5 linked regions of the Sus scrofa genome follow. The protein of the gene in region 2 binds, or shares a complex with, the protein of the main gene of each other region. Links are inferred from orthologs where the notes say so. Each region holds a gene or a part of one and is shown on either strand. Other genes may lie near its edges. The genes, in order: YWHAG, NEDD4L, AMOT, SMAD7 and SMAD3.

Region 1 (2,643 bases), on a different chromosome or scaffold from region 2:
TGGTGGGTTTAAGTTAAGAAGAAGGGACCAAAAAAAATCCCACAGCCACCTGCCAAGCACCTGTTAACCAAAACCTAAAGTAGCTCTGATTCTCCTCAGGCAAGCCTTCCGGCCTAGGAGAGAGAGAACAGCAAAACCAACCTGGATAAGGCTGAATAAGGACGTACAAGCCACAGTAAAGAAAAATACACAATCAATGGCTTGATGTTACATATGGCTGTAATGTAGAAATACTGTAAACTGCAATTTAGTGTTAATACTGTCAACCAATCAGGAACTTCTGAAAACTGGCAACGCCTAACCCATAAGGATAAATATACCTTATGTTCTAAGTCTATCAGCTTGGGATTTAAACTATTCCATGTCTGGTAGAGTACACCCTGAAAAAAAAATGCACAGCTAAAACAGATGAGACAGAAAGTACCCAAAACTTAAGACAAGAGCATATGTACATAAAAATCCTTACTGGAACCACAGAACTTATTGAATGAGGGCCATTCCATTTAAGTTTTCAATTCATCTTTAAACCCTATGTTCTAGCAATAAGTTAAATTAAAGACAGCTCCACTTGCATTAATCTACAGAACAGTCCATAAGCCAGTGTGAGGCTGCTATTCCAATACCAGCACAGCTAGCCTGACTTTCCACTAGTGGTATTTTGGCAAAAATGTCAAAGAGGCGATCAAAGACAGGACAGGTCGTGGGTTTCTCCCTAGGAAGGTCATCCCTCCCTTTCCCTCCCCCACCCGACCCCCAACTCATGGGAAAAAATAAAGACTGCAGTAGTAGCATCAGCGTGCGCTGCCAGTCCACCTGGGGCCTTAATTGTTGCCTTCTCCACCGTCGTCGTCTTGCTGATCGCTTGTCCAGAGCGTGAGGTTGTCGCGGAGGAGCTGCATGATGAGCGTGGAGTCCTTGTAGGAGTCCTCGTTGAGGGTGTCAAGCTCGGCGATGGCGTCATCGAAAGCGGTCTTGGCCAAGTGGCAGGCTTGCTCCGGGGCGTTCTGGATCTCATAGTAGAAAACGGAGTAGTTAAGGGCCAGGCCTAATCTAATGGGGTGAGTGGGCTGCATGTGCTCCTTGCTGATCTCATGGGCTTCGCTATAGGCCTTCTCAGACGACTCCACGACGGTCGCCCTCTTCTCTCCAGTGGCTACTTCGGCCAGGTAGCGGTAATAGTCCCCTTTCATCTTCAGGTAGAACACTTTGCTCTCATACTGGGTCTCGCTGCAATTCTTGATCAGGTAGTTATCCAGCAGGCTCAGCACATCCTGACATACGGCCTCCAACTCCTTCTCTATTTTTTCACGGTAAGCACGGACCATCTCTATCTTCTTCTCATTGCCATCTGCAGAGGTCTTCTGCTCAATGCTACTAATGACCCTCCAGGAAGAACGGCGCGCCCCGACTACATTCTTGTAAGCCACAGAGAGAAGGTTTCTTTCTTCATTGGACAGTGGCTCATTCAGCTCTGTCACCTATTAAGGAGGAAAGAAGACAGAGTTGTTACGGTACAGATGATGTCAGCTGGATTAATCACTTCTTTATGCCGCTAAAACATCAGCTGCTAAGGTCATTAACAGTCAGAGAAGTTAGGCCGTGCAGCTCTATGGAAGGGGGACGGAGGTGGGACGAGCAACAACCAAGGAAAAAAAACTGCAGCTGGATCACTGGTGCCTCAACTCCTGCTTCCTTCCTAGAAAAGGACACACACACGTGTCACGTAGCTCTCCCGTAAGATGACAAACCAAATCTCGATCTACATTACAAAAGGTCAACAGCTCTCATGCAACATTACATAGATACCAATCCTCAGGACTTTAACTAGAGATGGCTTCCATACAGCATCAGTTTTTTAAAGAAAATGGAATAACAGCTTCTAAGCTTGACCTGCCAAATTTCAGTCCCAGCCCTCTGGATGAGAGTATCTTGCATGCTGGGTGAGAATATATCGAGTCAACTTCAAAGTTGACTTTTGAGAAACAAAGAAACTTTTCTGTTCTTACGTTAGTATAAACTAGAGTTCCTGCTGTGGTGCAGTGGGGTCAGTGCCGTGTCTGCAGCACCAGGATGCAGATGCAGGCTCAATCCCCGGGCCTGGCACAGTGGGTTAAAGGATCCCACCTCCCGCAGCTGCAGCGTAGGTCACAACTGCAGCTCAGATTTGATCCCTGGCCTGAGAATTCCATGTGCCACTGGGTGGCCGAAAAAGCAAAAAGGATAATATAAATTACAAACCTCAGAAAGAAAGTAAAAATTGGGGGCATGGGATTGACTCTATAATTACTGAGATATTTGCAACTCAGAGAATAAATACTTGAATACAATTAGCAAAAAGATGGAGAGGTGAGCAAAAAAAGCACTTCTGAGTTGAGGAGACCAATAGGAATGAATGCTTCTTTTTTTTCCCTTTTTATTTTTTTCTGTTATAGTTGATTTATAATGTTCTGTCAATTTCTGCTGTACAGCAAAGTGACCCATTCATACAGATATGAATGCTTCTTTCCATTGTACTTATTTATTTTTCTTGGCCATGCTTGCAACATGTGGAAGTTCCCAAGCCAGGAATCAAACTCTCACCACAGCAGAGACCTGAGCCACTGCCATGACAATGCCAGGTATGCAATCCGCTGTGCGGCAAGG
Region 2 (4,445 bases):
AACAGCAAGAGCCTGAAACAGCACCTTCCCAGCTGCTGCTTTTCCATCAGACAGGAGTGGCCCCAGCAGGGAGCTCTCACAGCTGACTAAGGCAGCAAACACACTCCGAGCCATGCTGCTATAAATCTAACCGCATTGGCGCTCACAGGACACTTCTTTCTGAACCAAGCAGGGCCCCGGGACTCTCCAACCAATGCAGGAGAGAGACCCGGCTCCTAACACAGAAAAGCGCCCATAGTATTCCCCCACCTACCCCACCACCTTTCCCACGAAACCAAACGTTGTTGAGTAAAAATGCCGGGGCTGCAGGAAAACCCTTTCTCCAGCAATCGGATGTTATGTTGCCCTGTTATTTATGATATCACCACACTACCATGATGGAATGCAAACTAATAAAACGTACTATAAATACGATTACACACCCCGCCATTTAATGCTAAATAATTAGACCATGACCTACAAGTAACAAAATAGCTAAGTGGAAAGGGGCACCGCTTACAACACTCCCCAGCAGTGGTCTGCCTCTGGTTACGACGTTTTTCATTTAAACGATGGGGGAGGGAGGTGCTGGCGGCACACCATCTCACACATAATAGGATTCTCGGACATGTTAGTGACCAGAGAAAAAGAACCCAGCTGGAGAAAACATTCTCTCCCATATGCCAGATAGGAGAGAAAACAATACCCCCGCCCCAAAAAAAAGGAGAAGGAAAATTAAAGGGTATGCATGTGGTTTCTGTAATAAGTTAATTTCAATACCATGCAGGAAAAAAAGGCTGACTGGAGCTGGCTGACTGTTTTCCAGTAAGAAGCCAGCAATATCAGCCCAGTTGGGAAACATAGAATCTTGACATTTTTGTGAAGGGTCAAAAAAGACCTAAGTAATAAAAGTGAAAGTCCACGTTCAAAAAGCTGTCATCGGATTTGTAGCTAACTTGGATATATTCTGAGTGTTTTAAACATACTCTTTTTCATTGTCCTGAAACACGAGTTATTAACAAAGAGGCTTATTTCGGAGGAAGTAAGAAGGGAAGGGATGTGGGAATACCAAGCTGCAAAAAGTGACAAAAAGTTTATTTTAATATATGTTGACTTTGTCAACAGCTCTGGAGTCCAGAGTGTGGAGGATTAACCTTGTGTTTATATACATCCAAACCTGTTTTCTAAAGGCATGTGTTTTAAATGCCAAAAATGATCTCTATGAGAGAAATGGAAGCTAGTTTGTTTAATGTGAAAACTGCCAAGTACCACTATAGTCACGTAGTGTCTCTGCTGGATTAATAGCCAACAAAGAAAAAACCACCAGCAGCAGCATTCACGCATAGTAACAAGGATGCAGACAGCCTGGGGCAAAGCTAGGTACATAAAACAGTTTTTCAGATAAAGTTTCACATGAGATTTCTTAGAGCTCTGCATTCAAAGCCCTATTCGGCTTGGAAGTATAAGTTTTAGGCTCATGGCAAGGTCCTCTCAACAACAGTGATTCTTTTAGATAAGGGAAATGGGAAACATTTTTTACAGAGAATTTCTTTCAATAGAAGAGTTAAATGAGTTAAAACACATCTGACAAGAGACAGTTTTTTCCACAAAGCTGACCATTTCTTCACCTTGAAGAAATGTTGTAAGACACAATAAAAGAGAGAGTAAGGATTAATCTGTGGCTCCATCTGTGGACTCTGGGACTCTGCTGAACTCTGCCCAATCGGTGTTTCTGGACAGGAGATGGAGCACCAAGAACTACACCCTCAAGCAGAATTTCTCATTTGATTTAACAGCAAAATAACTTCGTGCACCGGGCAAAACTGATTTAGCTATTCAGTACTACTAAGCATCACCCAAGGTATAAAATGTCAAGTTCAATGCAAAGCCGCCGAGAATCCGTATATTTGAATAGAAAATATATCAGGATGGTAGGCCAGCATCTGTTGCTTTCTAATTTGGAGAATAATTCCAGGCATAGGAGATCAAATATACTCCTAGGTTCAATACTAAGGGTTAAGGCCTGGCTATTCACCACCAATGGCCTGAGACTTAATAGACGGGCAGGTATGTAATTACATCAAGGCTCTAGATCTCAGTTCTCTCACATGCAAGGACAGGGAATTAAATGAGTTGTATTATAAGCCTCCTCCAGATCAAATATTCTATTAAACTCAAGCTATTCAAAAACTTGGAGTTTCAGGTGACTTCTGCAGAAGGAAGGATTCATAATAACATTTCCTTTAAGCAATTAATACATGGTTGGACTCCCCCCCCCACATCTGCAGGTTCTGTATTCACGGTTTCAACCAACTGCAAATCAAAAATATCTAGAAAAAAAATTCCAGAAAGTTCCAAAAAGCAAAACTTGAATTTGCCTCATGCAGGCAACCATATATAAGTATTTTTAACCTATAATCTATACAACATATTAGTACTAGTTTTATGCCTTAGGCATACCTCTGGTTCTTTGAAGGTACTTTCTTTGAATTTCCCTTGAGAAAGCACCGCTTTTAAAATACAGCTTAATTTTACCTGCTAAATATAGATTCACTTTTTGCTATATACTGTTAATTAGATTTCTGTCATCCCAAAGAGATTCACTATTGAACGTGTCACAGTCTCAAAGTCTGGCTTACATATAAAAATCCTGAAAGGTTTATTTCCATGAGTAATGAGATTTGCCCACCTCTTTGTATCCCCAACAGAGGAGTATAAGCATATATGGCTTGATATACCACCAGTGTGATGGTCATGAATATTAACTATGATTAAAAACTTACACAGGTACAAATAAATTTTGTCCTACCCACACAAAAATATTTGTTTGAATTACGAACATTAAACTAGTAATGGGACAAAAATAGTCTTTTTGAGGGACATGTATGCTGTGAGAAATAAAACACATATAGACTTTTTAAAGATGTGCTGAAAATTCAATTTTTAAAAAATGAAGCAAAAATTAAAAATCAGGAACCACTTACCAATCTATTTTCATCAAATACTTCAAACAAGAGTCTGTGATTAGATGGGTTTACCTGTAAGGGACAAAAATAATAATTGTTACTATTGATTTATTCTGAGGCATGTGGAAGTTCTGGGGCCAGGGACTGGACCTGAGCCACAGCAGTGACAATGCTGGATCCTTAACTCACTGAGCCACCAGGGAACTCCCAGATAATACTTTTAAAATGAGCAGAAATAATTCAACGAATGAAAAAAGAGACTGAAAGAATAAAATGCTTTTTAATGCACTCAAATCAGTTGTACAATATAAGCAATCTGCTCTTATGAAAATCCTCTATATACTAAATCAAGTTTTCTATGATTGATCGCTATATTATTTTACACCTAATATTTAGGCCTATAAGAAGGAGAAAATGGTTTAAGTCACTTTTCTAATGCGAGAAAGGATATTTCTAAACAGTTTCTTTTAAATTTATTTTTCTAGATAAACTTTTATTTTTAAAAGTTCCTAAGTCTCCGCTAAAAAGGCATCCTCATGCCTGTAGATCAAGGCTACATCCTCACAAAGGTCTATGTCCGAGGAAACCTCTAAGGCCTAAAAATAACAGCAATGATAAAAAAAAAAAAAGAATAAAACAGTAAAAGCATGTAAATAGTTAAAAAAAGCAAAACAAAACATTCCTATTGCATGTTTCCTTTTTAGGCACTATCTTCTTATTAAATATCAAAAATACATCATCTCATTTATTCTCAAAGCAACCCTATGATGTATAATTGTCACCCCGATTTTTACAAATGAGAAGCCGAGACCAGAAGGGTTAACTAACTTGCCCCAGAGCCCATAGCTGGTATGCAGGGCAACCAGGATCCCCATCAGGTCTAGCCTGCTCGTCTCCAAAGCCCACTCTCCGGACCATTAAAGAGACAAGGAAATAAAAGATGGTTCTGTTTCCAGCAACTGCGGGGTCAGTGTCAGAGCCACTAGGCCATGTCTGGTTTTTGCTTTTGTTTTTGTTTGTCTTTTTCGGGCTGCACCTGCAGCATATGGAAGTTCCCAGGCTAGGGGTCCAATCAGAGCTGTATCTGCCAGCCTACACCACAGCTCACAGCAATGCCAGATTCTTAACCCACTGAGCAAGGCCAGGGACTGAACCCGTGTCCTCATGGATATCAGTCGGGTTCATTACTGCTGAGCCACAACGGGAATTCTAGGTGATGTCTTTTTGCTTCTTTCTGTCTCTTCACCCAGACTTCACTGAAATAGCAGGAATCATCATTCACACTCAAGTGTCATTTCGTTAAGGACCAACCACATGTGTGAGATGTTGTGGGAAGTGTTGTCATTTCTATTAATGCACATAAATCCTAGAAACAAGCCTATCAAGTGAAGATTCTTCTCTTCTAGTGGGAGATAAGGAGCCAGAGGGGAGTGTGAGTCCTCAGGTAGCTTCTCCAGGGTCAGAATGGTTCTAAGTGCTAAGGCTAGAGAAGGGTCCCAG
Region 3 (3,646 bases), on a different chromosome or scaffold from region 2:
TCTACAGTGGAATCCACACCCCCCCATACCCATTTTCTTCCCCTTTAGAGGAATGATTTATCCATCAACTGGGTGTTAAGCTTCCTGTTTCCCCTTCCCAGGTCAAGGGCAGCCCAGGTGCCCAATTTCTCTCTCTCTTCACAAGGCACCACCAGCAATAGAGATGAGAAATTCTGAAGAACAGCCAAGTGGAGGAACCACGGTTTTGCAGCGTCTGCTACAAGAGCAGCTTCGCTATGGCAATCCTAATGAAAACCGCAACTTGCTTGCCATACACCAGCAAGCCACAGGGAACGGACCTCCTTTCCCCAGTGGCAGTGGGAACCCAGGCCCTCAGAATGATGTGTTGAGCCCCCAAGACCACCACCAACAACTCGTGGCTCATGCTGCTCGACAAGAACCCCAGGGGCAGGAAATCCAGTCAGAAAATATCATCATGGAGAAGCAGCTTTCCCCTCGAATGCAGAATAATGAAGAACTCCCGACCTATGAAGAAGCCAAGGTCCAGTCCCAGTACTTTCGGGGCCAGCAGCATGCCAGCGTTGGAGCTGCCTTCTACGTCACCGGAGTGACCAACCAGAAGATGAGGACTGAGGGCCGCCCATCAGTTCAGCGACTTAATCCTGGAAAGATGCACCAGGATGAAGGACTCCGAGACCTTAAGCAGGGACACGTTCGCTCCCTGAGTGAACGGCTCATGCAGATGTCACTGGCCACCAGTGGAGTTAAGACCCATCCACCTGTCACCAGCGCTCCCCTCTCCCCACCACAACCCAATGACCTCTACAAGAATCCCACAAGTTCCAGTGAATTCTACAAGGCCCAGGGGCCACCTCCCAGCCAGCATAGCCTGAAGGGCATGGAACACCGAGGCCCCCCACCAGAGTATCCCTTCAAGGGCATGCCACCCCAATCTGTAGTGTGCAAGCCCCAAGAGCCAGGGCACTTCTATAGTGAGCATCGTCTGAACCAGCCAGGGAGAACAGAGGGGCAACTGATGAGGTATCAGCATCCCCCTGAATATGGAGCAGCCAGGTAAGAGAGTTCCCTTTCTGTCATTTCCTGACCTCATCCCCAACCAGCTTATGCTGTGTGTTGGGAATCTGGAGGGAAGGAATGGGCAGGTGTTTGGTGTAATAAACTCTGCGATGCATGGCTGGCCCCTAGCTTGATAAATTTCCTGCCAACCTGAATCTCTAGCCTCCTCAGTCCTTATTAGTCCAGTATTAACATTCCTTTGACTTTATAGGTTGAGCGTGGCCCCAGCTGCCTAGTGGCAGGACAGGAGCACAAGTCTTGATTTCAGCAGCTTTTTGCTGTCTGGTCTTCTAGGATCTTCAAGGAAGAGGCAGTGTTCCTCTTTTTGTGCATTATTTAGGCCTTCTTTGAAAGGAAGTAAATGATCTTAATGCACTTTAGTCTGGAACATCCCATCCCTTTCATCTCTTCTCCTCCACAAAACTGTCTTCACGAATTTTTGTGAACAAATCTTCCTGCAGAATTAGTGTGATTCTCTCAGACACTAAACAAACATTCAGATATCATTGTTGGGAGAACTGCATACGTGCAGGTTCAGAATGTTACTAGCCTTGTACTTCCTTGCAGGTCATGAAGTCTAGACTGCTTCATCTTTCTTCCATCAAGAGTGTGTTAGTTGCTGGTGATACTTTTAAACACCTAAGTTAAATTTGCCTCATACCGTACAGAAGTTTTGGTCAGAAGCTAAAATGCAGAAGAAAAAAATATTTGTATGACTTCTATCAACTTCAGTAGGACTCTTTTTTTATATTCATTAATCCCTAAATATGCTTCTGGATTATTCAGGGGCCCATTAACTCATGGCCGTATCAACCAGACCTTATGATTCCATGATTGTGTTCATTGTTCTTATTGTTAGGACTAGTGCCATGTCTACAACCAGGAGTATTTCAGCATATGGGACAGAGGGGACGTTTCAACCTTGGGCAAAAATGATGGCCGTTCTGTGTGGTATTCCTAATTACCATGGTTAATCATGGGTGGCTTTTTTCCATTGACAGCCCCGATGGATCTCCTTGATGTCTGACTTTTTGCCTCCTGTTCCCTTCTCACTCATTTCGGAAAGAGCCTCTTGGCTTGTAGTATAGTGGGTGACTCAGTAGAGAAAGAAGGCAGTCAGGGGGGTGGAGTAGGGTGAAGGTAAGAGAATGCACCTGGCATTTCCTGGTATTTCTTTTTTTTTCCCCACCTCCCGGTTTTTTTAGCCAGAGGCAATTCACTTTGGACTCCACCCCTAACTTTACCAGTTTAGGATTTTTTTTCCTTAACCCAAGTTGATTTCCTAACCTTTTTCAACCTTCTCTGTGCAGCTTTCAAAGGGCAGGAGCTTAACTTCTGATAAGTGGCTTGGAACAGGAAATGGGGTAACGGACAGGGCCCTTCCGGTTTAAATGAGCAAGAAGTCAATTCCCATCTGCCCACTGAAACGGAAGACCCAGGCAGGGTGTTGGTCCATTGGACTGCTTAGCTTAGTGGAAACCCATCCAAGCCAGCAAAATGTCAATGAAGCTGGGGGGTGGTGGTTTTGCTCTTCTCATGAGCATAGAAGAGTCTCTGGGGCTCCCTCCTGTATGTGGATAGGGTGTACCCACTTATGGCCTTATGGGAGGGGAGTATGTTGGCTGGGGTATGGAACAGGATCCAAGCCCCGCCCAGCCCATGTCCCGCCCTCCCAGGAAAGCTATTTTCAGAACTCATTCACCAGTATTGTTTGTGATCTGAAATGACTCCCACAGTGTTTGAAGCTAGTTGGAAAAGCCCTTTGATCTGCCTAAATAAATACTAAGGAGCCCAAAGAGGGATTTTTTTTTTCTTCCCATACTCATTAAACCACCAGAGAAATTTAGCTGCCTATATTTGACAGGAAGATATGTGTATTTTCTCCTCCCTCCTAGGTTATCTGTGGATTGCTCTTCCTCTCCCCAAAAGCAGCAGAGCCGTGCTGATTACCCTCTCTTGAGCGGCACTTAAATACACAGGTTTGCTCTCAGAGTTGATTTTTTTTTTCTTCTGTGGGAGAGGAGTACGTTCAATGAATAATCAAACTGAAAACAATCCTAATCAGAAGATGCTCTTGGTGAATTTTGGGTTGGCAGCAGACAAACCGGCAATAAAATTTTTTGTAGAGCCTGGGGTGAGGGTGTGGCACCTATTGACAAATTACTGGCGAAGGGAGGTTGTTGAATTGCTTTCCAGAAGTGAACCACTTTTAGGTGGTGGCTCCATTTTTCCTCCTTTATTTCCTTTAACCAACTGGCTAGACAGTGTGTACCTTTCCAGGTAACTGTAGCCAGAACTAAACAATTAGAAGACGAAATCCTTAGTTCTTAATCCATAAATTGCAGATCAGGATGCAGAGTAAGCTCTTTGAACAAATTGTCGTTCAAAAAGCCTTTGTTGGCCTTTGGAGGTGCCGTGAAATGCTAGAGATTTGCTGTTCAATTGAACAAAATGTTACAAACAATCTTTTTTTATTACTTCATCTTCCCTATGCCCTCCTCCCTACTTAAAAAGTAAATATCCTGAATGCCCAGAACTCCAGATGGGAAATAAGGCCAGAGCCATCTGAAGAATCAAACATTTTCTGAATCTCTGTCTTTCTAAGTGC
Region 4 (4,446 bases), about 64 Mb from region 2:
ATAGGGCTCTAAGATACAGGGGACCATCCAGTGGTCACCCCTGAGTCCCAGCTTTGAGGACCCCCCGCCTCCCCTGGCACTGTGAGCCCCTGCACTGCCAGTCAGAAGTTGAATGCAGACAACCGCAACGGGGCTGGTGCCAGTCTCAAGTGCGGCTTCTGCCCTGGCCCCAAGCCATCTGGTGACAAAGCAACAGGCAGGCAGAACTATGCTAAAAACTTTCAGAGCCCCCACCAAGAATTCTGAGAAAACCAGGAAGGGAAGGGCCTGTCGTCTTTACGTCTTAAAGGTTCAAATTCGCTTACCCCAAAGACCTCTCTGTACCTTTTTAAACTGTCTTCCCTCCCACCAAGCTATCCATTCTTCCCACTGATACTTCTGGCACTCATAACGTCTCCAAAGTTTCCCATCAACCTGTCCTCTTTGGCTCCCAAGACACTTCTGCAAGGATCAAATTCCACGTGTTTAAAAGCTGAGCCAACTTGGGTTGTGGAGTGCAAATACATGAAAAAAGGAACAAAATGTAATGCATATCTAGGAAACATCTTTGAAAAAAAAAAAAAGAAAAACACATACATGCATAATATTGTATCTATACACACACATATTATCTCCAGGTTCAGTCACAACAAAAACAGAAAAAAATCCACCAAACTTCCCACAGAGGAAACCTATAACCACCTTGGGGCAAGCCCAGGGTCTCCCCAAGCCGCTGCCTAGACATAAAAAATCCGAGTTCTAGAGACTCCATTTCTAACCTAAGATAGGAAGGATATATTTAAAACCCTCTACTCACCAGTTGGTTTGAGAAAATCCATCGGGTATCTGGAGTAAGGAGGAGGGGGAGACTCTGGAATTAAAAAAGAAAGAGAAAATAAAGGCCGAGCCATGAGAAAGAGAGATAGAAACTTATGATAACAGAGGCATTCTTTTAGCCCAACTGTTTGTCTTAGCTGTGGGGGTTGGAGGCAGGGCCGCGAGGCGGTGATTGCCTTGATATTTAGCTGTCAGATAAACAAAAGAGGCCGCCTGGCGCCAGCCTCGGCGCTCCGCTCCTCCACGTCTGCGGCCGCCGCCGCCGCGCTCGGCCGGCCCGGCTGGAAACCACCGGCTCTACCGGGGCCGGGCACTTCACAGTTCACAGGGCGGGGGGCGACCAAGCCCCCGCTCGGTCCCAGAACTTCAGATCCGACTCCCGCCGCCGCCCCCCCACCCTGACTCGTCCCCCAGGGGTGCAAATTCACCTTGGCCACCGCAGCTCCTCTCCACACCGCGCGGGGGAACTCGGGGCTCCCCTCTCCCAGCCCACCCGCGAGGTTTACCCCAAGTCCGCTGGTGAACTTGGATTTGTGAACGCCCCGGGTGCACCCCCGCCCCACACAAATATGCAGAGAAAAGGAAAGCAATGCAGGAGGCTGGGATCTCAGCTGAGAAGCCCAGGCCCCAGAGCTGTTAAGGGGCCGTGTCGTCAGGGAGGGCTGGGGCCCGACCCTTCTGCAGTCAGGAACTGTGCTTTCCTGTGCAGGAAGAAAGGAAAAAGCAGAGGGCACCCAACTTCTCCTGACTGCTTGTCCTCTTCCACCCTGGGCTGGCAGAGTTGAGAGCAGATATCCAGCGCCGCCGCCCATCAAACTCTCTTCGCCCCAAAACACAAAGCTACTCCGGACAGGGCACTTTCCCAGCCACTTGTGCCCGACAGGACTCTCCTTATTTACTAAAGGAGCAGGCAGAGACGTTCCAGTCTTTACAACTGCTTCTCCCAGCCTTCCTTGGCGGGCTTGGACCGAATCCAACTCGGCCACACACCTCAACGCCTTTCCGGGTGCAGGGGAGGCGTGACCCCCCCTCCTCCCCCCCACACACTTCTCTCTGCACCCCTTGGTTGATCCGGAAATGAGAAATCTATCTAATTTTTAACCCCCGGTCTGTAGAGTGTGTGCATGAGCAGTGCCCAAAACCCCGCTAGGGGAAACAGAGGAGGAGAAAAAAACTGTAAGGGAACCCCCAGGGAATGCCTTTCCAGGTTCCCCCCAGTCCCTTCTCTACCTTTGTCCCTCTAGTCTTCTCCCAGGAGGGGATGTACTCTCCCCTCTGGCGAGACAGCTGCACAAACACACAGCCGAAGGGGGCTTTTCTTTCACTACTTGAGCGCCAAGGGGAGAGGTGGGTGGGCGCAGAACAACTTCTTACCTAGTTCGCAGAGTCGGCTAAGGTGATGGGGGTTGCAGCACACCAGCTCGGGGTTGATCTTCCCGTAAGATTCACAGCAACACAGCCTCTTGACTTCCGAGGAATGCCTGAGATCCGGCCACCTGAACACTTTGCACAGCAGGAGGGGGAGCGAGTAGGACGAGGGCGGCTGCGCGGGCTGTGAGCCGGCAGGCGCCCCCAGGCCCAGCCTGCAGTCCAGGCGGCCGGGCAGCAAGAGGCACGCCGTGCGCGTACCGCCGCGGGACTCCACGGCCTGGAGCAGCAGCTCCAGCTGCCGTTCCTTCAGTTTCTTAAGCACCGAGTGCGTGAGCGCCTTCAGATCCGCCTCGGCGCCCCCGGCCACGCCGGCGCCCGCGGCTGGGGGGTGGGGATGGTGGTGACCTTTGGCACCTCGCACCGCCTTGCCCAGGCAGCAGCCAGCCCTGCCTGCGCCGCCGCCACCGGCCCCATGTGCCCGGCCGTCCGTCGCCCCTTCTCCCCGCAGCTCGCCTCCTCCACCGCCTCCCCACGCGCCCTCCTCCTCGTCCTCGCCGCCGGGCGCACGGCTCCTCCAGAGACGCCGGACGAGCGCAGATCGTTTGGTCCTGAACATGCGGGGCGAGGAGGCGAGGAGAAAAGTCGTTTGCCGGCTAAGGAGCGAACATGACCTCCGCACACCATGAAGAAGTCGGGCGCCGAGTTGGGGCAGCAGGCGCAGGCGACAGCAGCAGCAGCAGGGGCCCGGGCAGGAGCGGCGGCGGCCCGAGGGGCGCTCCGTGGCATGCGCCAGTCTCCCGGAGGCCGGGGGGCGCGCGGGGGCCCGGAGGCGCCCGCCGGGGCTCGGGGGCCTGCGCTCCGGCTGCCCCACCCCGCGCGGCCCGAGCCGCGCGCTGCTCTCGGGCCCCGGCGCACCCCGGAGGAACGCGGCCGCCGCTTCCCTGGGGGCGGCGAAGCCTACCCCGGTCGGCGCCTCCCCAAAAAGAGGCCCCCCCGCAGCGGCTCCCGAGTGTCGGGCTCGCCAGCCTTGGCTTCCTACATGGAAGATCCGCGGGGGCAAAAAAAGAAAGGCGTTCGGCTGGGCTGCCGGAGGGAGGAAAAAGCCTCTTTTCCCCTTCCTAAGCAACTTAATTTGGGGGTGGGGAGAAGGAGGCAATTAAAAAAAAAAAAAAAAAGGCAGGCACGCGATTTATTTTTTTCTTCTATATCCTTAGTAACCGGATCTCCTTGAATTCCGTGCACACGAAGACTCGGGGGAGGGGGCCGAGTGGACTTCACCCCGCAGGAGATGTTTGGCGAAATAAGGAGGTTCTCTCAAAATCTAAGAACCAAATACGCAAAGCCCAAAATGAAAACCACCACCTCCTCGCACCCCGGAGGTCTGGGGGCGTCTGGCTGGAGCTGGGGTTTAAAAAAAGAAAATGTTTACAAAGTAGAACAAGACGTCTGAGGGGTGGAAAAAAGGTATCCACGAGTTACATTCCCCTTTTTCCTTGCAGAGCCCCACTGGTCTTCCTCTCCTTTTCTTCGGGGGAAAAAAAAAAAAAGCCGTGTATTTTTTTAATCCACAGAAAGCTTTGGCTAGGCTGTTTCAATCCTTCGCATCTGGGTGATTTGGAGGAGTCTCTGGTCTTTCCTCCTGAGCTCCCGGGGGCCCTAGTCCTCGGCGGGGACTTCCTCGGGGCTGGCGGGGGCGCAGGGGCAGAAGATGCTGCGGCGGCGGCTGCGCCCCGCGGGGCTGACAGCGCGGGGGAGGGCGGCGCGGCGGCCGCGGCGGGCCCCTGGCGGGTCGCGCGCTCTCGCCCTCCGCTCGCTAGCGCGGGGGCCGCCGGTGTCCCCTCCCCTGGGAGCCGGGGCTCCCCTTATGGGCTGCTCGCCCCGACAAGGCTGCGTCGGCTGGAGGCCCCGGTGTCCCTCACGCCGCCTTCTCCTCCGAGACTCTCCTCGTCGCGCCCGGGAGCCTCCTTGTCCCCCGTCCGCCCTCTCCTGGCGCTCGAGTCCTTCTGCCGCCGCCGGGGGCTCGCCGCGCCGCACCAGGGACTCCTGGGCCAGGCGCTCGGCAGCTCGGCGCCGGCGGGCTGGCTCTGTCTCGGGCAGCTCTCTCCCGCGCGGCGAGCGGACAGAGCACGGCGCCCGGCTGGCTCGCCTGGCGCGGTTCGGGGACAGGATCCTCCGTGCGCCGAGCAGGCGAGCGAGTGTGCCCTGGGCTCGCCGCCTCCCGCAAGGCCTCCCGCCCCCGCCCCCTTCCCTCCCCCTTCC
Region 5 (3,646 bases), about 2.6 Mb from region 2:
CCAGCGTTATGTCAGTCAAGAGTAGGAGGCAGAGGAGTTCCCGTCGTGGCTCAGCGGAAACGAATCTGACTGGTATCCATGACGCAGGTTCCATCACTGGCCTCGCTCAGTGAGCTAAGGATCTGGTGTTGCCGTGAGCTGTGGTGTAGGTCAGATGCGGCTCACATCTGGCATGGCTGTGGTGACAGGCCAGTGGCTACAGCTCTGATTTGACTCCTAGCCTGGGAACTTCCATATGCCATGGGTGCGCCCCCTCCCAAAAAAATGATCAGGAGGCAGAGGCACAGGTGGAAAGACCCAGACCCAAAGGACAAAAACATTTGTTCTCGTTTTGATAATTTCTGACATATTTTAAATAGAGAAAAGTGTAAAGTGAGTGAGTAAACACCTGTGTATGCCATCTAGGATCTTTTAAAAAGTAAAACAAATGGGGAGGCTGTCTGGGAAGGATGAAGGCTCAGCAGCAGGGACTCTTTGCCACTGACTGTGTCACACTTGCTGTGTGGCCTCTGCCCTTCCCTGCCTGTCCGTCAGGGTCTTCCCTGGAACATGAGCACCCTGGCCCAGGCCTGTGGCTTCCAAACTTGTCTTAACTGTAAAATCCTCTCTCCGAATGAATCATCTCTGAAGGCCCAAGATATAATACAAACAAGAGCAGGGCTGCTCTGGGTCATGTGGCCCACTGCCCTACCTGGCTCCCGAGTTTGCCCTGGAGCCCCTTTGGCCACCCTGGGCACATGGAGCAATGTTTCAGAATACCAACCATCTCCATACCATCCCCATGGCTCTTGTAGGTGACTCTGGATCACAACATTGGGAATACTCTTAGCATGATTTTATGAGCAAATAAAGCAACACAGCAAGGCTTCAATCTTCCCTAAACTAAGTGGGCTTTACCGCACGCTGGGTGCTGGAAGACAGAGTGGCAGCAGCAGTGGTACCCAGCAGTGGGCAATACTTGCCTCTCTACCTCTTCTAAGTTCCTAGGATAATCCTGTGTGAAATGAACAAACCAAAGATCATCTTTCCAGGACTATCTACTTACCCACTTATCAGTACTTTAAGGGTATTTCTTTTTTTTTTTTTTTTTGGTCTTTTTAAGGCTGCACCCTCTGCATCCCAGGCTAGGGGGCTCGAATCAGAGCTGTAACCACTGGCCTATGCCACAGTCACAGCCACGCCAGATCCGAGCTGCGTCTGCAACCTACACCATAGCTCACGGCAACTCCAGATCCTTAATCCACTGAGTGAGGCCAGGGATTGAACCTGAGTCCTCAAGGATCCTAGTCGGGTTTGTTAACCACTGAACCACAACGGGTACTCCCCCTTAAGGGTATTTTTATTAAGGAGAATTACACAGTTGCCTTTTTCCAGAAAGTCCAGCATCTTCCCTTGTGGCTTTCAAAGTTTCAAAGATGATATCTGTCTCTGGGTGAGAATGATCAAGCAACCTGAACTCTACCTGTCTGGCCCCTGAATAAGGTGACAGAGAGCTTTTGGGGGAGGGGTGGAGGTGGGGGAGGCCCAGCACAGTGGTGGCGGATTCTGGAGGGGTCTGTGCTGGGCTGGGGATCTGGGGTGTCGTGGGGGAAACTCGACCGCCCCTCACCGATGTGCCTCCGTGTCAGCTCCACAGCCGCATTCCTGTTGACATTGGAGAGCAGCCCCAGGCAGAAGCGCTCCGAGTTGGAGGGGTCGGTGAAGCCGTCCACGGTCATGGACGGTTGCGAGGCGTGGAATGTCTCCCCGACGCGCTGGTTGAGCTCGTAGTAGGAGATGGAGCACCAGAAGGCCGGCTCGCAGTAGGTGACGGGCTGCAGGTCTGAGGAGACAGGCCAGCCCCTGGGTCAGTGGCGCCCCAGGCCCCGTGCCCCTGGACGGGGTCTGCCGGCTGCTCTGGAAGACTGTTCCCCACCTCTCAGAGGGCATTATAATCTCCCCACCCTCGTACCTTTTACTGGATAAAACCTGCAGGAGCAGCCAGCGGGACAAAATACTCAGGTGGCAGGAGAAGCACTTTTCATTTAGCTTTAGCTTCCAAAGGCCCTGCCCCGCCTGGCCTGGCCTCAGGTTGAAGCCGTCTTCAGGGAGGTGCTAGGCCAAGCCCCTGGACAGACACACTGGACAGGCTGGGTGTGCCTATCGCGGGCAGGCCACGCCACCTGCCTCTCTTCCTAGGTCCCCGAGGTAACCCATGCTGATCTCCGCCCCTCCAAAGCTAACTCCTGTCGAGCAGCAGCATCCAAGCCTGTGAAACGATAAGGCTGCTGCAGCCCTGGGGTCTGCGCTGCGCTTGGTGTCCAAGACCACACAGGCGCCAGGCACCATCTGCAGAGTAAACCCGGTTCCTGCCTCTTGTTATAGAAACTATCCTCCAAGTGTATCCAGATGTTGAGCAACCAGGAGGCTAACACACAAACTCACCTAAAAGAAACTCTGAACTTCTAGAGGTCATCCTGTGGTCTCAGTCAAGGGCACCTCAGAGTAACTGCCGTCCTGGGAGGGGGCAGTTCTGTTTCTCAGAAGAGGTGGGAACTCCTGAAGTAGAGGTTTCCCCTCACACGAAGCCACACCTCCCTTTCCAGGGACGCCCTAGCCTTCCTGTCACCTCCAGTTGTTCTGGGCTCCACACCTGCCCAGGTACCCCTGCCTGTCTCTGTGTCACTTCTCACCTCAGGGTCCCTCCTCGTCATTCTTCACTTGCACTAGTGCCACGGCCCTCTGACAGGGCTCCCCAGCACCCAGCCCAGCCCTTCCAGCTTCTTCTCTGCCCTGTCCTGCTCCCGGGGCCACGTCCTTCCCCTGTGCCTCCTCGAATCCCCCTATTTGTTGGTGAATCAGAGTCTGCTGCTCTCATTCTGGTCTTAGCCCTCTGGCCTGCACCACGTACTCTGGCTCTTACATATACATAGAGAGTTGCGTATATGGTTACTCAGGCGTGTCTCTGGAAGCTGGTGAGAGGATGGGAGAGCTCGCCATGCCAAGTCAGCACTGGCCCGAGACCCGTGTCACCGCCGGCCAGGCAACTTCCTAGAGCGAGAACCCATGAGAACTTAAGCTCAGCTCACCAGACCTCACAAAGTGTATAAAAGCCCAGGAAAGAATAAAGCAGAAGCTATTCCAGGAGGGGCCTGGGTTCCCCTGCAGGGCAAAATGGCCCTGATCTCCTTCTGGGGTCTACGCCCATGATCCCATCTAAGAGCAAAGAGAAGGCTGGCTCACAGGGGAAGGGCTGCGGACCGGTGACACCCCTGCACTCAACATGCTGTGAAGAGTTGGCTGGAGGGTGAGGGCACTTGGATCAGGTCTCGGCCTTGGCAAATTTGGGGCACGATAATTCTTTCCTTGGGTGGGGGGATCCTGCGTGCTCTGGGATGTGCAACAGCAGCATCCTAAGCCTCTGCCTACTTGATGCCAGCAACATACATCCATCTCACCCTCCCAGCTGTGACTGTAAGAAACTTCTCCAGACACTGAGAGACGTCTTCTGGGGGCAAAATAGGCCGCAGTTGAAAATCACTGTCCTGGGTGTTTGACCAGCTCAGGGAGCACAAGCTTCAAGGCTGGACAGACTTGTGTTCACATTCGGCTTTGGCACGGACCTGCTGCATGCTGGTGAGCAAGCCAGCCAAACTGAGCTTTGGTG

What was found.
Region 1: the proteins of NEDD4L (region 2) and YWHAG are in contact, whole or in part, in a crystal structure (PDB 6ZC9), measured with the Homo sapiens proteins. The link is inferred for Sus scrofa from reciprocal best matches to the Homo sapiens genes NEDD4L and YWHAG. Residues at the interface, in NP_001138439.1 of Homo sapiens: Pro444, Arg445, Ser446, Leu447, Ser448, Ser449, Pro450; in NP_036611.2 of Homo sapiens: Lys50, Arg57, Arg61, Lys125, Arg132, Tyr133, Gly174, Leu177, Asn178, Val181, Tyr184, Glu185, Leu225, Asn229, Leu232, Trp233.
Region 3: the proteins of NEDD4L (region 2) and AMOT are in contact, whole or in part, in a crystal structure (PDB 7LP3), measured with the Homo sapiens proteins. The link is inferred for Sus scrofa from reciprocal best matches to the Homo sapiens genes NEDD4L and AMOT. Residues at the interface, in NP_001138439.1 of Homo sapiens: Lys202, Asp204, Leu206, Arg208, Tyr210, Val212, Asn213, His214, Arg217, Thr218, Thr219, Gln220, Trp221; in NP_001106962.1 of Homo sapiens: His235, Arg236, Gly237, Pro238, Pro239, Pro240, Glu241, Tyr242, Pro243, Phe244, Met247.
Region 4: the proteins of NEDD4L (region 2) and SMAD7 are in contact, whole or in part, in an NMR structure (PDB 2LTY), measured with the Homo sapiens proteins. The link is inferred for Sus scrofa from reciprocal best matches to the Homo sapiens genes NEDD4L and SMAD7. Residues at the interface, in NP_001138439.1 of Homo sapiens: Arg394, Asp396, Lys398, Arg400, Tyr402, Val404, Asn405, His406, Arg409, Thr410, Thr411, Thr412, Trp413; in NP_005895.1 of Homo sapiens: Glu203, Glu205, Ser206, Pro207, Pro208, Pro209, Tyr211, Ser212, Arg213, Tyr214, Pro215, Asp217.
Region 5: the proteins of NEDD4L (region 2) and SMAD3 are in contact, whole or in part, in an NMR structure (PDB 2LB2), measured with the Homo sapiens proteins. The link is inferred for Sus scrofa from reciprocal best matches to the Homo sapiens genes NEDD4L and SMAD3. Residues at the interface, in NP_001138439.1 of Homo sapiens: Glu392, Glu393, Arg394, Lys398, Gly399, Arg400, Tyr402, Val404, Asn405, His406, Arg409, Thr410, Thr411, Trp413; in NP_005893.1 of Homo sapiens: Glu178, Thr179, Pro180, Pro181, Pro182, Gly183, Tyr184, Leu185, Ser186, Glu187, Asp188.

What each region holds. Positions count from the first base shown.
Region 1 is NC_010445.4:10,018,734-10,021,376, reverse strand, and holds part of YWHAG (14-3-3 protein gamma), read right to left. Parts: intron 1,479-2,643; coding exon 822-1,478; 3' UTR 814-821; intron 1-813. UniProt on the Homo sapiens protein: Adapter protein implicated in the regulation of a large spectrum of both general and specialized signaling pathways. Binds to a large number of partners, usually by recognition of a phosphoserine or phosphothreonine motif.
Region 2 is NC_010443.5:162,513,906-162,518,350, forward strand, and holds the start of NEDD4L (E3 ubiquitin-protein ligase NEDD4-like), read right to left. Parts: upstream 2,915-4,445; 5' UTR 1-2,914. UniProt on the Homo sapiens protein: E3 ubiquitin-protein ligase that mediates the polyubiquitination of lysine and cysteine residues on target proteins and is thereby implicated in the regulation of various signaling pathways including autophagy, innate immunity or DNA repair.
Region 3 is NC_010461.5:92,627,312-92,630,957, reverse strand, and holds part of AMOT (angiomotin), read left to right. Parts: intron 1-101; 5' UTR 102-163; coding exon 164-1,035; intron 1,036-1,104; exon of another isoform or gene 1,105-3,646.
Region 4 is NC_010443.5:98,539,513-98,543,958, forward strand, and holds the start of SMAD7 (mothers against decapentaplegic homolog 7), read right to left. Parts: upstream 2,804-4,446; coding exon 2,191-2,803; intron 2,167-2,190; exon of another isoform or gene 1,629-2,166; coding exon of another isoform or gene 1,556-1,628; intron 1,550-1,555; exon of another isoform or gene 1,245-1,549; intron 851-1,244; coding exon 797-850; intron 1-796. UniProt on the Homo sapiens protein: Antagonist of signaling by TGF-beta (transforming growth factor) type 1 receptor superfamily members; has been shown to inhibit TGF-beta (Transforming growth factor) and activin signaling by associating with their receptors thus preventing SMAD2 access.
Region 5 is NC_010443.5:165,109,919-165,113,564, reverse strand, and holds part of SMAD3 (mothers against decapentaplegic homolog 3), read right to left. Parts: intron 1,823-3,646; coding exon 1,610-1,822; intron 1-1,609. UniProt on the Homo sapiens protein: Receptor-regulated SMAD (R-SMAD) that is an intracellular signal transducer and transcriptional modulator activated by TGF-beta (transforming growth factor) and activin type 1 receptor kinases.